Astyanax mexicanus: one gene and its partner. Each later gene encodes a partner of the first gene's protein in a complex. Links are inferred from orthologs where the notes say so. Each region holds a gene or a part of one and is shown in the gene's direction. Other genes may lie near its edges.

The links.
Region 2: the proteins of nup58 (region 1) and nup54 are in contact, whole or in part, in a crystal structure (PDB 4JO7), measured with the Homo sapiens proteins. The link is inferred for Astyanax mexicanus from reciprocal best matches to the Homo sapiens genes NUP58 and NUP54. Residues at the interface, in NP_054808.1 of Homo sapiens: Pro342, Tyr345, Phe346, Leu349, Val350, Phe353, Gln356, Leu357, Tyr360, Gln363, Ile364, Leu367, Leu371, Gln374, Ser378, Ile392, Tyr393, Phe396, Leu399, Ala400, Leu403, Ile406, His407, Val410, Lys414, Tyr417, Tyr420, Arg421; in NP_059122.2 of Homo sapiens: Tyr453, Leu459, Glu462, His466, Leu467, Gln469, Gln470, Gln471, Gly473, Leu474, His476, Leu477, Ile478, Ile480, Ile481, Asp484, Leu485, Ile488, Lys489, Leu490, Val491.

The regions. Positions count from the first base shown.
Region 1 is NC_064408.1:99,531,394-99,538,771, reverse strand, and holds the start of nup58 (nucleoporin p58/p45), read left to right. Parts: upstream 1-4,213; 5' UTR 4,214-4,542; coding exon 4,543-4,622; intron 4,623-6,885; coding exon 6,886-7,049; intron 7,050-7,378. Other genes in the region: mtmr6 (myotubularin-related protein 6), read right to left, coding at 2,072-2,095. UniProt on the Homo sapiens protein: Component of the nuclear pore complex, a complex required for the trafficking across the nuclear membrane.
Region 2 is NC_064424.1:47,543,205-47,550,968, forward strand, and holds the start of nup54 (nucleoporin p54), read left to right. Parts: upstream 1-4,542; 5' UTR 4,543-4,577; coding exon 4,578-4,614; intron 4,615-6,263; coding exon 6,264-6,368; intron 6,369-7,333; coding exon 7,334-7,402; intron 7,403-7,764. Other genes in the region: bxdc2 (ribosome biogenesis protein BRX1 homolog), read left to right, coding at 1-50, 250-293, 386-456, 1,164-1,213, 1,330-1,403, 1,518-1,568, 1,676-1,777, 2,162-2,290 and 1 more. UniProt on the Homo sapiens protein: Component of the nuclear pore complex, a complex required for the trafficking across the nuclear membrane.

The DNA.
Region 1 (7,378 bases):
CTTGACCAAAACAATCTTCACCCATAATTTGAAGCCCAGACAAACAAGCCAAAGCTCTTATTTTGGACACATTGTGAGTTAAAGCCTAACTCACAGCAAGATCACTATGCTTAAAACAGTCAATAGTGAAAAAGCAAAAGGATGGCCAGTGATTATGTGAACAAATGGGATTTAAATAATCATCAACAAGCCATTAAGAAGCACAAGCAGACCACTGGACACCATGAAGAAATACTATCCATGTTATTGGCAAGACTGAGAATTGACATTTAGGCCAGGCAGTTGGTCTGCAGCCTGTCTAAGGGCAGTCATCACTTATCAGGGCAATGGAATGATCAACTGACCAACCAAGAACTGAAAAAGATATTATTGGTCTGAGATTGCCAACAATGACGATATGTTGTCAGAGCAATAGAGAGAAAAATGTAGAATGTAGTCATATCTATATATCTATCTGTGCTATAACGGCCTATAGAAAGCATACTATGCTAAACTAACTATGCTTAATTTGTTAAACAGTTAAAAAGTTTTTGTAGACACCTGCTTTTGAAATGTATTTTATAAAATCAATGGTATTAACAGACCCATTTGCACCCTTTTCCGTAGTATAGCAGCCTCTGCTCAACACTAATTAATGCACTTTGTTTGCACAACAGCATTAGTAAAGTCAGATGCACAGTGTCACATCAAATACACTCTACAAGGCATTACTTCTCATAGTAGTAAGAACAGTAGGTGGCAATGATTGGGGCCAGTAGTATCTGACTAGAGTGACTCTGGCAGAAATCACATTTACACTTAATGAAGGAGACATGGTAAAAATCAAGAGACACAATCCTAGTTCCTGTGTTCCAGTGACTATTGGCATGTCATTGCATTCAGACTAACAGTATCCACAAAGATAAAGGCTAACCCAAAAGCTGAATACAGGTGCAGCCCACCAAACACTGACAAACAAAAAGTGGATGTTCCCAATCCAAGACATGTCTAAAAACCTCCATGCAAGACTAAGGGGAAAAAACTATAAATAACTAACCGCTGGTTATGCAGAAACCTGCAAACCTCAGCAAAGAAACGCTAAGGCCGTCTGGCCCACTTTAAACAGAAACTTCTCATATGGAGCTGGCTCATCCATTGTCCGCGCATTAATCTCAAGTTTTCTTAAAAAGAAAAATGTCTATTTTAGTGCAACTTACACAAATACAGCTTGGTAATGTTAGCCAGTTTTGCTAAATTGTTAACCTCAGAAAGTAGAGTTACTCTACTAGTTCTCAACACACAAAGACAGAACTCCCAGCATTAATCAGCATAAATCTCTGATGTCAGAATTAATTTATTATATTAATATATTATTTCCTTTTTTTATTAATAAAGACTATAGGCTACAAATATTGCATAGTTTTTTAGCCTTATTATTGAGTTTGATTGAGAGCATATTATTGAGTCTGCATTTTCAGTCCGTAAAAAAATGTTTTAATACTACTTTTGTTATAATTATTATTATTATTATTATTATTATTATTATTATTATTACTACTGGTGTTACTCTTATTATTGTATTTTTTGTTGGAGAGCACCTTTCACGTAAAACAATCATTAAAAGCCTTTCTGATCCAGTTTTAGAACTTCCATACTACCTCCCAAAGCTAAATTATGGTTGTTGTTTTTTTTAAGACGTAAGTTAGCTAATGCAACCATAATTCATTGTTTATTCAATGTTATTTGCTATCTTTGAGTGTTAAGACACCATAGTAACTGATTTTAAGACTGAGTTAGCTTTAAGCGTTTTGAAACGTCTAATTACACCACAATCACAATCAATCATCACCATCACCCAGAGATCTAATTCAAAACACCCAGCGGTTGTTACCCCCCGGCCGGTACAGCGCTGTAAAGAGCACAACACTGCAGCCCAGAGCCAGGCCTGGTGTAAAGACTGTTGAGAAAAGCTCTGATGATAAAGTATGTACTTTAATCGCGATGGTAACAGTGGTAGAATCAGTCAGAGAGGCTCTGGGTTAGTTATATAGATACTAGTTTAATCTCGACGCCTCGCAGCTCCACTGATTACCTTTGGTGTTCGGATGTGCTCCATAAGGCCGCTGCAGCAGCGCTGTGCTCAGCGATCGAGCAGGAAAGCAGAAGCGGGCTGTGAGCGGGTGACAGCTCACACATGAAAAAATAAGCAATAAAAAGCTGCCTGGTGCAAAATCTCTCACACCCAGTTCACCATCCTCTCCGCTCACTGATCCTAATGTTGATCACCCTCCTGTTTCTGCTTTCTGACCTGCAACTTCCTCTTCGGGGCGTGTCTCCGCCACGTACGGCGAAAACACACCAAGGCATGGCGGGAGTTGTAGTCCGCTTCGCCGCTGCTGGTAGGAGTGGGTGAAGCCACTGATTAAATCACTATTGAGGGATTAAAACAAGAAAACTAGTCACAAAGTAATTGAAATGACACGTTAAATAAAAAAAAGATTTTTGCAGTAATTTATTTAATTTAATTTACTGAACACAAAGTGTTAGCTTATTTAACTTTTACTTTTACTTATTACTTTCATTTGGACAGGATCAGTTTTATTTTTTGAAGGAGTAATAATGCCATAAATTGCAATGATTGTGACTGAATTATGTGCAATAAATTAGAAAACTGAGTAGAAGGTGATTGATATAGATATTTAGATGGGTGGGTGGATGGATGGATGGAAGGATGGATATATTTATATATATATATATATATATATATATATATATATATATATATATATATATATATATATATATATATATATATATATTGTAGTTGCATTTCATAGAGAGATAAAAACATATTTTTTTTAATTAACATTTAACACTTCAACACTTCGTTTGAACCCTTGTGGTGCCAATCACTAGAGTTTAGGTTTTTATTGTTTATTAGTATTAAAGCTATAAAAACTATCCTACATTGTCTTTGTGCAAGGACCTCAGATTTGTCATCATGATTAACACAGAAAACAGTGAATTTGTTTCCAAAATATTTGCATTTTATAATATGTAGTTATAATTACAGCTAGATACACATGTCCCAAAGGACACAGTTCCAATATAAAATAAAAAGTCACAAGTTAGAAAAAAGATTAACTCTACTATTTACCAACAGATATCAATACATTGCATTGCCTTGCAAGCATTTTAAAAACAGTACTTGACTGATAAGGTCTGGCTTTAACTATTTTGTTGTAGCTGAATTAGGGGTCTAGCCCAAGGTCTAGTGTAGCAGTGGTGTGTTTCTCTCACACAGAACTAGAACTAAAACACCACTCTGCCATTAAGTACACATATTAGTTAAATATTAGTTAAGAATATTCTGTGTCTATTCCTTCTTCAATTTTAACTTGTGTATGGCTCTTACTTTCACTTGAAGCCCTGAACCTTTCCTCCAGCCCAGCAGGGAGCGAGCTTCTGCTTGGAGTGATGTCAATAGCTAGTTTGATTCAGTTCATTGAACCGATTCACAGGAAAACTCCATTGTTTCTGTGTCATATATAGCATATCATCATACAATTAAACTTCCAAAGATTCAAAGTAACTTTCATTAGCAGTACTTGCATCTATAAATCGACTTAAACCTTATTTATTCTTGCTTATTTTTTATTATTTAACAAGTGATTCTGATTCACACTGAAATGTCAATACTTGAATTTTAAAAACCTGAATTTATTTCAGGACTGGAATACACAACCCTTTAAAGAGATTAAGAAAAAGACCACTATAAATGTGTGTACAGAGAAAATGTTTTAAAGTGTGGTATTTCAATTTCATTACAAATAATCCTCCTGTTACCCTCAAATTATTGGTCTTAATTTGACCGCAGCCATTCATACTTCCATTTTTTTTAAAAATATTATACACTTACATATCTCTATTTTACAAATGTGTAAAATATTAATATTTTTATCTCTAAAACAGGTTAAGGTTTGTATGCTTTTTTATTTACCTATTCATTCATTTATTAAATAATTTATTTATTTATGTTTACCATATTCTCCTTGTTTAAATCATGAAATATGAATGCTAAAAATTATCCTTTCAGATATATTAAATACAAACCGCTCAAACAGAGGGATAAACAATATAGTATACCTATATATCTTGCAAAGCTTTAGGTGTATGAAGAAAAAAAGTTCAGTTTATTGTTAACCGATTCAAGTGAACCGATTCTGTCACGAATCGAGCATCGCTACTACCGAGGAGAAGAAGAAGCTTCGAGCGCGGAAAGAAGTTTGATTTTTTAACAGACTGTCAGGAGTAAAGCTGAACCCGTGCATGTTGCGGGGCGGTGAATGTAGCTAGCTGTAGTTTCAGTGTGCTGTTCAGTATCTCTGGCCTGTGTTGGAGTTTGCTTTATAAGCTCTCTGAGATGGTGGGCTGTGTTTTTAGCCTTTTAAGCCTCCACGAGGTCGGAGTGCTGCAGAGCTAGCTGAGCGTTAGCCGGTTAGCGCCTCGGTCCTGCTTGTATTTTTAAAAAGACTGTTAAGGTAAAACAAGCACAGACCGAAAATGTCGGGCTTTAACTTTGGAACAAGCACTCTAGGATCCACAAACACTGGCGGGGGCTTTTCATTTGGAGCTGCGACCAGGTGAGACGATAGAGGATGTTGTTAACGTTACTTTAGCAATACTGAGCTAACGCTTAGGCTCGTTAGCTTAGCTAGCAACTTGGGCTAAACGGAAACTAGTGCAACAGCGTCGTTCATCAACTAACGTTACTTCAACAAGCAGAGAATAATAGTTTTTCTTTATATAACAGATAACGCTATAATACTCAACTATTGCCAGCTACTGTGGTTTTAATACCGTTAACTAGCTAGTTAGCTTAGCTAACGCTAAGTTAGTTAGTAGCTCCTCTCACCTAAAGTGTGGCTAATCTTAAATGAGTAACTGTTAACATAAGCTAGGTTATTTGAACACATATGTTATTATTGGATTTTAATAAACCCAATCTAGTTATAATAATGGCTAATTCAGGCGTTTTCTCGACATAATCAAGATGGTTAGGTTAACAGTCGGACACCAGAAAGCAACAAAAATATCAGCCATATCCCATAAGAGCCCAGACTCATTTCTGAATATTGATAGCAAATTTAAAACTGAATCAGATAAATTCAGTGAGCAGCTCATGTATTATGTTTCTCGTTTTGAACACATGACGCATTATTTTTTTTATTAATTTCCACAAAACATAATGCGCACACACAGCCATCCAAGACAATTAAACCATACAACCAGCACGTTTTACAAGTCAAACAAAACATTCATAATGACAACACATCTCATTCATCAACCAGCAAATTTAACTCATTCATGTACTTTATAGTGGACACAGCTTTTTTGTTACTAAGGCAGTTAAGAGACTCAGTAAACAAATTCAGCATTAGATTCAAAGTAACGTTGACAGTAGAGACCTTACAGTTAAAAACAAAAATATCATTTTCATATAATTATCATATAACGTTTTATATGTACCCTGTATATTTTACTTTATTAGAAAAATATTTAGCTAGAGCTATCCAAAAATATTCTGAATAAAAACATTGAAAAATAAATGTTCTATTTTTGAAAATGAACAGTTTGGATCTATATCTTTAAATTTTGCAAGATTATAATTAAATGTACTTATCTCAGGTGACCTACGTTTTTTGTTATATTTTCAGGTTAAAATCTTGATGTACCATAAAGAATGCAGCAATAATTTTTTAAAAGATTTCTATCAGCTACGTCAGAATTACTTATATGCATTGTAAAACATTTAATTAAAGTGTTTAAATTGTTAAAATGATTGAAAGAGAGCTGTTGAAACAGTGAATACAAAGAGTAAACCCAGATAAAATGTAGTAACAGTTTTAAAATAATCTTTACATATGAAAACACAGACAATAAACTCATCATGCAATCTGTTTAGAAGCTGTAACAAAATAAACAGGTATCACCATTTTTGTTTACTGCATAATTTGATCACACAAATTGACACATTTCTTGAGGAATGGACCAATAGTAAGTCTCCAAAGTTACCTGAAATAAACTTTTTTTTACATAGACTGCCATTGAAAGTTTTATATGTCTCCAGTAAAATTGCTGTTTTGGAGATGCATGTTTTACTTAAGACAGCAACAATATTGATCTTTATGCAACAGTCATCTCAGCTATATCCACAGTTCATAGGGTTCCTATGATCTCAGAGGTTGTCTAAAGCAAAAAAAATAATTTGGCTAAAAGATTCATTTTTAATTTAAATAAAATTTCTGAAATATTTTGCATATGCAAAATCCAGTTTTGTAGTGTTAATCGCTAAGTTGCAACAATACAAAAAAAAATCAGAATCTTAAAGTAGTCAGGAGCTAGCTTCACAAAATATATCCCTAACAAGTTTTTATAATAGAGAAAATTAATGATACTTAACACTTAAGAACAAGTCAAGAAAGAATTTATATTCTTTAACATATATTCTTTAATATATAACCAAACCCCACACAGTCCAAGAGCTCATTAGTTGCTTTGATTCAGTTTTTCCCTGATTTTGTTGTTCTGTAAGGAATTAAATTATGGAAGTAACAGTTAATTTTAATTAAAATATAAAATGCAGGACACAGTCTCTTATTATGGCTGCAACAGAAATCACCAGAGAATATGAAGACTTACTTAAAATAATATTGAGAAACTTTTTGATGAACTAAGGTTTATATGATCCCAAGGATGATTTTTAATGTCTTTTAATAAAACATTTGTAAATCTATACCCCAGATCAGCTTTTGGACATGATTTGCCTGGTAGCCTGGTTTTGGAAATGTTAATATTGTTAGATAAAGTGTCCCCTTACCCAGTGTATAACCTTTCCTCTCACAGTGCCCCTGCTGCAGCCACTGGTGGCTTTGCTTTTGGTGGTCTGGGAGGAGTGACCTCGACTCCTGCTGCTGCTACTACCACCACCACCTCCTCCCTGGGTCTTGGGGGCAGCTTGTTTGCTCAGAAACCAACAAGTGGATTCTCTTTCAACACACCTGCCTCAGGTATGAAGGCATACCTATTTGCCGAGTTAGCAGTATTGGGTTCTTGGAGATGGTTTAGTATTTAGATCAGTAGACACCTTCTCATCAAGCCTGTATTTAAAAATATGTTTTAAATTTGCTATCCATCCTTTTGTTATGCAGTAAAAATTAGTTTTTTCTCAGGAGCTTAAACTCCATCACTGGGTATTCCTTTGTAAAGTTACTAATTGAAAGTGCTGTCTGCATAATTTAGACATATTGTCTACACGTCACAAAGCAGTTCTACTTTGGTCAGCCCTAACATTAAAATAGCTTGCTTAATATTTTGCCTCCAAATAATTGCTTAATAT
Region 2 (7,764 bases), on another chromosome or scaffold:
AAGGCACCTCATGCAGGACCTGAGGACTATGATGCCTCACTCAAAAGCAGGTAACTGTCGAGCATTCACCCCACTAACAATAACTGTATTTGTCCCCACCTGACAGCCACTAAGGCTTGGAGAAGAAATGGTAGAGAAATAAAAAATAAAAAAAAGAACACCTCTCCAACTGTTTAACATGGGGGTGGGTGGATCATGCATTTCTGCAGGTTGTGTGAATATTTATCTCATTTGTTTCTTCATCTGCAGATACAAAAATGGACCGGAAAGATAAGCTGTTTGTTGTTAATGAGGTGAGATTTTTATATTGGAATGGTTCAATAGTTCAGCTTGATTCAGTCCAGTGATGAAATTATTATTAAAATATATTGTTTGTTTGCTGCAGGTTTGTGAAATAAAAAACTGCAACAAGTGTGTTTTCTTTGAGGCCAAGAAGAACATGGATCTGTACATGTGGTGAGTCTTCATCTGTTTACCTGTTTTCCAAAAACAGCTTTTTTATGAACCCACAGTTGGTGACCAAAAGTCTATTATTCTGTTTTTTCATAGTATACATATTTCATAGCTAAATCTACATTTAAATAAGTAATATTAGCATTTATTTATTAAGGGTAGGAATCTCTAGGCACCTTACGAGAGTCTGTGATGTGATTATAAAACGATTATCTTGATGCATCTTTTTGCTCTATGCAGGATGAATTTTTTTTCTCATTGCATGTAATGATCCATAATAAATCCTGATAAGGGTCTTTTAAACTCATTCTATGTACTTGAAAAAAGCATACTTATTTCAATTTAAAAAATAATTAATACCAATACCTTGTATAAATAGTAATATTATGTTAGATTTAACATGTATATACATTGTTTAATTATTTTTTTTGTATTATAATTTCTCTATCTCTATCTCTAATATACTAAGTTGTACGGAGATTAACTGGGAGCTTTAATGGAGGAAATATACTAAATAAACAATAGCTGCTTCAAAGAATAGCTGCTTTAACGTGTAGTTGTTTTGAACAGTTTGGTGGAAAATGAAGCGTGGGGGAAAGCAGTGTATGGCTCGGCGGTGGTTTTCTGGATTAACGTTCATGTTAACCAGCCTTAAATCATTGTCTATAAACAGATTAAATAATCTCACTGCTGCTGATTTTCTGTTGTAGGGTGTCTAATGTTCCTCACGGACCTTCAGCTAAATTCCTGGTTCAGAACGGTAGGTCTGATCAGTTTTTTCTGAATGTTTTTGCCTGTTTCTGTTTTGTGTGAGTAGTTTTACCCACTGTTACAGTTTATAGCCGCTGTATGATTTCCCACGCTGCTCTGTTTCAGTGCACACACTCGCCGAGCTGAAAATGACCGGAAACTGCCTGAAAGGATCCAGACCACTGCTGTCATTTGACCCGGTACAGAACGAAATATTATCATCAGTACATTTATACATACGTGTCTAGCTTCATGCCCTATCTGAGCTGGATGAGACTTATTATTATTGATATTAAAATTGTTTCTCTTTACAGAAATTTGATAAGGAGCCTCAATATGCCCTTTTGAAGGAGCTCTTCACACAGGTATTCCTCCTCTTTCAGTGTGTAGTCTTATTTGTCACTGTGTGAAACTCTGAATTTTAAAATTATTATATTATTGCATTAAATTAACATTGTTTTTTCCACTGCAGACTTTTTCAACGCCTCACTACCATCCGAAGAGCCAGCCGTTCGTGGACCACGTGTTTACTTTTACAATTGCAGACAACAGGATATGGTTCCGTAACTACCAGGTAAATATTCATCTGTTGTAAATAGAAACGAACATTTCAATAATTAAAATATTTATACATTTGGCTTTATTTAATTTATTATTTGTTTATTATCAAAGAAATGCCATTGTTGGGTATAAATAGCTTTTTTCACTTTATTTCAGTTGCTATTATTCCTTTTATAAATAAATATGGCTCTGGTTGAGAATCATAGAACAAACAAAACACTAAAAATATTTTTTGATATGATATTTGTGTGTGGTTTTGAGACATTATTGCAAAATTATATTTTGATATATCAGGTTTTTTATTACACTCATACGCTGCTGTATTTGATATATTATTAAACTCCTCTGTTCAGTTTTACTGTTACTATAAACTGTGTGTTTTTTTTATCTTGAATAGATTATAGAAGAAGACGCGTCTCTGGTGGAGATTGGACCTCGCTTCGTCCTCAATCTAATTAAAATATTTCAGGGCAGCTTTGGAGGCCCGACGCTTTACGAAAACCCTCATTTCCAGTCCCCGAACTCGGTAAGCTGCACTACTGCACTTCACCTTCCAGTCTGGGTATTAGCTTGGTTCTTTACACAGCAAAAACATCACTCAATAAACCTTCTGTAGCTCCTTCATTATAATGATTTTTAAAAAATCTCTTTCTTTAAATACTTTAAATGCTGCAAACTGAGTTAAATCCAGTTACACTATATTGACCTTTACTTGTCTGTCTTGTCTGCACTACTCATCCAGACTAACCCCTCCCCTCTTTCTGATTTTATTCTTCAGTACCGCCGCATGGTCAGAATGGCCAAAGCAGCTAAGCAGAAGGAGCGTCAGATGGTGAAGGAGATCCGGCTGGAGAAGAGGAGGGAGGTGAAGGAGGTGCTGACGGAGGACGTGACGGACGACGTGTTCGTGACCCCGGCTGAGGAGAAGCCGGAGATGGTGGAGAACGAGCCGCCGGTGCAGAACATCAACAAGAAGAAGAAGCAGAAGCTGATGGAGCTGAAGAGGAAGAACGTGATGAAGCGTAAAGGTCTGCTGTGAACCTCAGCAGGATCAGAGCACGGGTTCAGATGAAGCCTGGCCTCGTTTTTAAACCCTCACTTTATTCTGCGATGTTAAAGTGGGCGTGGTTTAGGAACAGCGGGCTGTGGAATACTCTGGGACTGATTTATTATGTGAGAGATAACTGCTTCTGTAGATTTCTATGGTTATTGTATGAGATGAATTTTCTCATTCTGTGTACCGACTGTTTTGTACTTTGGATAAATACAAATATACAAATTCCAGTGTTTTTTTGTTTGTTTTTTGCTTATTTTGTTGAGTTTGTAATAACACGATTAAACTCTGACCCTGATTGTCTGAATTTATGTCTGTAAGTTTGTTTATATGGGAGAAATCTCAATACAAAACTAAAAATTGCATTACCTGAAGGAAAATCAGGATGGATATGCAGCTAAAATCTCTCTCGCTGGTCACTAATGTGGTTGCTAGGGTGTTACTATAGTATCTGTACTCATTGCTATGGTGTTTGTGGACGTTGCTAAGATGTTGCCAGGTGGTTGCTTGGATGCAGGTTTACTCTCAAGTCATTAATCCAACATGACATTATATTAATAATTGCCCTCTGTAAATTGAAAATCTATATATTGTAAAATTAACAAATTGTATGTGTTGCATATAAATTATATTTGTTAGATATAATGACATGTTCCATAGAAAAAAGATTACTGTAAGCAAGACAGTATGTTATTATTGTTTAAATCAAATTTGAGGAAACTTCACAGTATGAAATATTTCTAACGTCTCAATTAAAGGAACATTTTCATTTTATCCAATCAGAACAGTGGAATCTTTGAATATAAACTAATTATAAATCATTATTGTGTTTTTAAAAGTATATTATACCTTACGCCACCCATCAGAACATCTAGCTGTGAGTTTACTGTATATGTCCTTAAAGTCAGATTAGCAGTTATTAGACCTGTAATTGCTTTAATGACCTTTATGCATTTCTTCTAGACATTTTTGCATACATATCTACAGAACTGACTATTAGATGATCACTGAAACATTACTTTACTACTACTATAAAAATATTAATTCTGATTTGGGAAATTTGCCTCAGTTCACTTTTAAACGAACAGGCCTATGCTTTAAGCCAAAAGTCTGACCAGCTTGGTGAAATGCTTGGTCTATTAAACTAAAGTGTGGCAGATGCTGGTTAATAAATATACTAGTCTAGCAGCGTTGGGTGAACAGTTTTATTATTACACTGACCATCAAAAACCAGCAGGGGGCGCTCTCTACATTAAATACAATGACTAAACACGTTTATAGAAATTAACATTTAAAGTAAATTAGGTTTCCAATGAAAAATAAACAATTAAGCATATATTTTAATTATAATAAATATTATTTGTGTATGTTTCTTTTTAATATTCAATTTAAATGTTGCAGGAAAACTGTTGTTTAATGTTAGATTTTACAGATTTGTAGATAGATAGATAGATGGGTGATACCGTCAACTATAGATACATATATTATTATATTCATTTGGCAATATTATTGCATACAATATGATAAATGGAACACTTCTAATCGAGATTTTCACCAGACTGTAACAAAAATCAATAGTCCAACAAGCGGTGTTGTGTAGAATTTGCGGTACCTTGTCAAATCGTATTTTAAAATCTGTAAGTTCTCTGAAACCAGGATAAAAATACATATACAAATAAATATACATCTGTATCGCTCTAGCCGGAACTAAATATTGTGCTGTGCGAGTTTCTGCCCGGACACAGCAGGACGGAGCAGCATGGCGTTCAACTTTGGCGGCGGCTCGAGCAGCGCGGGTGAGTTTATATAAATATATTTATATTAAAAACTGGCTGTAAAATCAGCTTCTATCAGTTACATCCCTGTACTAAACCCGCTCAGAGTCAGATAGAGCGGCGCGGGGCTCCTGCAGCTGTAATAAACACAGAGCAGCGGTAGGGTTAGCTAACAGGCTAACATCAACATTCCAGTCAACAAGGCTTTATTATTATTATTATTATTATTATTATACAAATATATACAAATAAATACAATAAATACAGCACACTAGAGACAGTTTAACAGACAGGACAGTGCAATGAAATGATACGGTACAATGAAATGTGTATAGTAAGGATAAGGTGCAAAGATATGTAACATAACGTTACTGTAACATATAGAACATAACGTTACATGATCACAGCAGTTTATAGACTTTATAGTTGTAAAAAATGAAACAGCAAATGTTGCTGATAGGGATAGAGACAATTCAGTGTGTATGTGTGAGATGGGTGGGTTAATTTTCCGCTCTGCTTTAACCTTATTACAGTACATTACTGTAAATTACAGAGAGTAATAATATCGCCAAAATGCTGACACGATAAAAAACATCCATATTGTGATATTTTTGAAAGCAGTCAATTTAAGGTGGCTCTCCATTGATCTTCCTCTATTTCTCTCTTTCTCTGTGCTTGTCACTCTGCTCTTCTGTTTTTCTCTTTTTCTATCTATTTGTCTCTCTCCTGACTTCTCTCTATCTCTTTCTCTTGTCACTGTCTCTACTTCTCTCTTTTTCTCTTCATTGATAGCTCAGTCTCTTTCTTTTCTCTATACGTTTCTCTCTCTCCATTGATCTTTCTCTATTTCTCTTTCTCTGCTTGTCACACTCTTTTTCTTTCTTTCTCTACACCTCTCTTTTTCTATTTTTCTTTCTACTTGTGACTGTCTCTAGTTCTCTCTCTACTCTCTCTACTTGTCACTCTCTCTTTCTGTTTCTCTCTACCTGTCTCTCTTTCTCTTTATTTATATCTCTCTTTTTTTCTCTTTACTTTTCTCTCTACTTTTCTCTCACTTCATTGATCTTTCTCTTTGTCTCTCTTTCTCTCTGCTTGTCACTTTCTTTTCTTTTTCTCTCTCTCTCTACACTTCTCCCTGTTTTTCTTTTTCTCTCTACTTGTCTCTTTATCTACTTCTCTCATTTCTCTTTTTACCTGTCACTGTCTCTAGTTCTCTCTCTCTCTCTCTGATATCGCTGCTTGTCTCTCTCTACTTCTGTTTCTCTCTCAACTTGTCTTTCTCTCTTTCTCTTTCTCTATACTTGTCTCTCTCTCTATTTTTGTGTCGTTTCAACCCAATACCAACCTCAGCCCTCATTCTGTTCACCTCTGTTCAGGGCTGCCACTATTTCCATAATCAATCAGTCAATCAATCAATCAAGCCGTGTATCATCTCTGATATAACTGATATAACTGTTATTTCAGACGTGTACACTAATGGATTGTGCTTCAGCTCTGGTGATTTTACTGTATCTCTGCTGTTTGGCCGGTTCAGATCTTGTGTATCACCCATCGCTCTGTTTCTGATCAGCATGGCTTCACTGAAACGCCTGAGGAGACCCAGACCTCCATCCTCCTCACGCTTCTTCATGCACTTGTGGTCACTGATGTCTTGTTTGTTGTTAATAAAGGCTCTTCAGGGTTTTCATTCGGTTCATTCGGTGCCAAAACGACAGCGCCAACAGCGTTTGGCTTTGGTACTACTACCAACACTACCGCTTCATCTGGATTTGGTAGTAAGTTCATCTGTCCACATTCATACTATTAACCATTATCATTTACATTATCATTCTACTGTAACCCATTTAATCTCATTTCCCACACTGTCCAAAGTTCATTACGTTTAATAAGGGTTCTAAAGAAACTATATTTCAGATTCTCAAACAGGGATGATGAAGCCTAGTAATTAGGAGTCTAACAATACACGATTGGGTTTAAATCCATGATTTCCATTTTCACACGATAATTTAAACAAATCTGAATTAAGAAAATTATACATATTTTCTCAAGTGGAAACAATAGGGGTGTAATGGTGCACTAATTTCTTCATAACTGTATAAACAACAGCAAATGCACTTTATATAATGCTCCATTTATACATATTTATCATTAAGTGTTACAAGTACTATTTCTGTTTAGTACTATTATGCTGTTTAATTGCTTAATTTAAGCTCTTATTTTTTAAGTGATCTAGAGTAAAAGTATCAGTGTGTAAGATGTCTAAACTGATCAGTTTTAAAAAGTTATCTAAATGCAGTTGTGTGATTGGCTTCATTCTAAAATGATTGACATGTCCTCCACCCTTTGCTTATGCCCACTGGAATTCTGTCCTCTTGTGTTCAAACAATTTAACCTCGTGAGATTTAATAGTAACAGAACATGGAATCGTCTGTTCTCAGGATGCACTTTTTTCTATCACAATACATCATTACAGCCCTATCAGTAGATCATTTTTTACCTTCAATGGAAAAATCTCCATTTAAAATGCTGTACCACACAGGCTAGGCTTTAATCCCTGTCTGGGAACCTGCGCCATACCTGGACACGCATTGTTAAAGTTGTACAGTTTTAACCCAGTTTGCTCTGGACTAACAAGGATTAAGGACGATGTAAGAGCAGAGTAGGCCTGTGTGAAATTCTACAGATATGAACAATTAATTTTTATTTTTTACCTTTTTTTTTATTGCTTTATGTTTAACAGCCCCAGCTTTTGGAGTCCCCACTACAACAGCTGCACCCACGGGGTTTGGCTTCGGCTCGACAACCACAGGTTTGTTGATATGTCAATAAATTATGGTTTCACTTTATTTAATTAATGCATGTTGTGATACAAGCTAAACTACAATAACAGACTGAGAAAAAAAGTTCATATTTCCCATTTTCAGTGTTTTAGAAGATGGAACATGCACAGGAAGGCTTATTGTATTTTAAATATGATTGAAAATTGTTAGTAAATTCCCATTAGTTCTGGATAGTACACACAGAACTAATGGATGTATATTTCTTAATTTCAGGTTATACAGTATAATTCTGATATGGATATAAATAGTATAAAAAACACCAGATGTGTTTACACTTTAGGGAACTTGTAACTCTACAGTGTTCTTCCCTTTGTGCTCAGCTTGTATATTA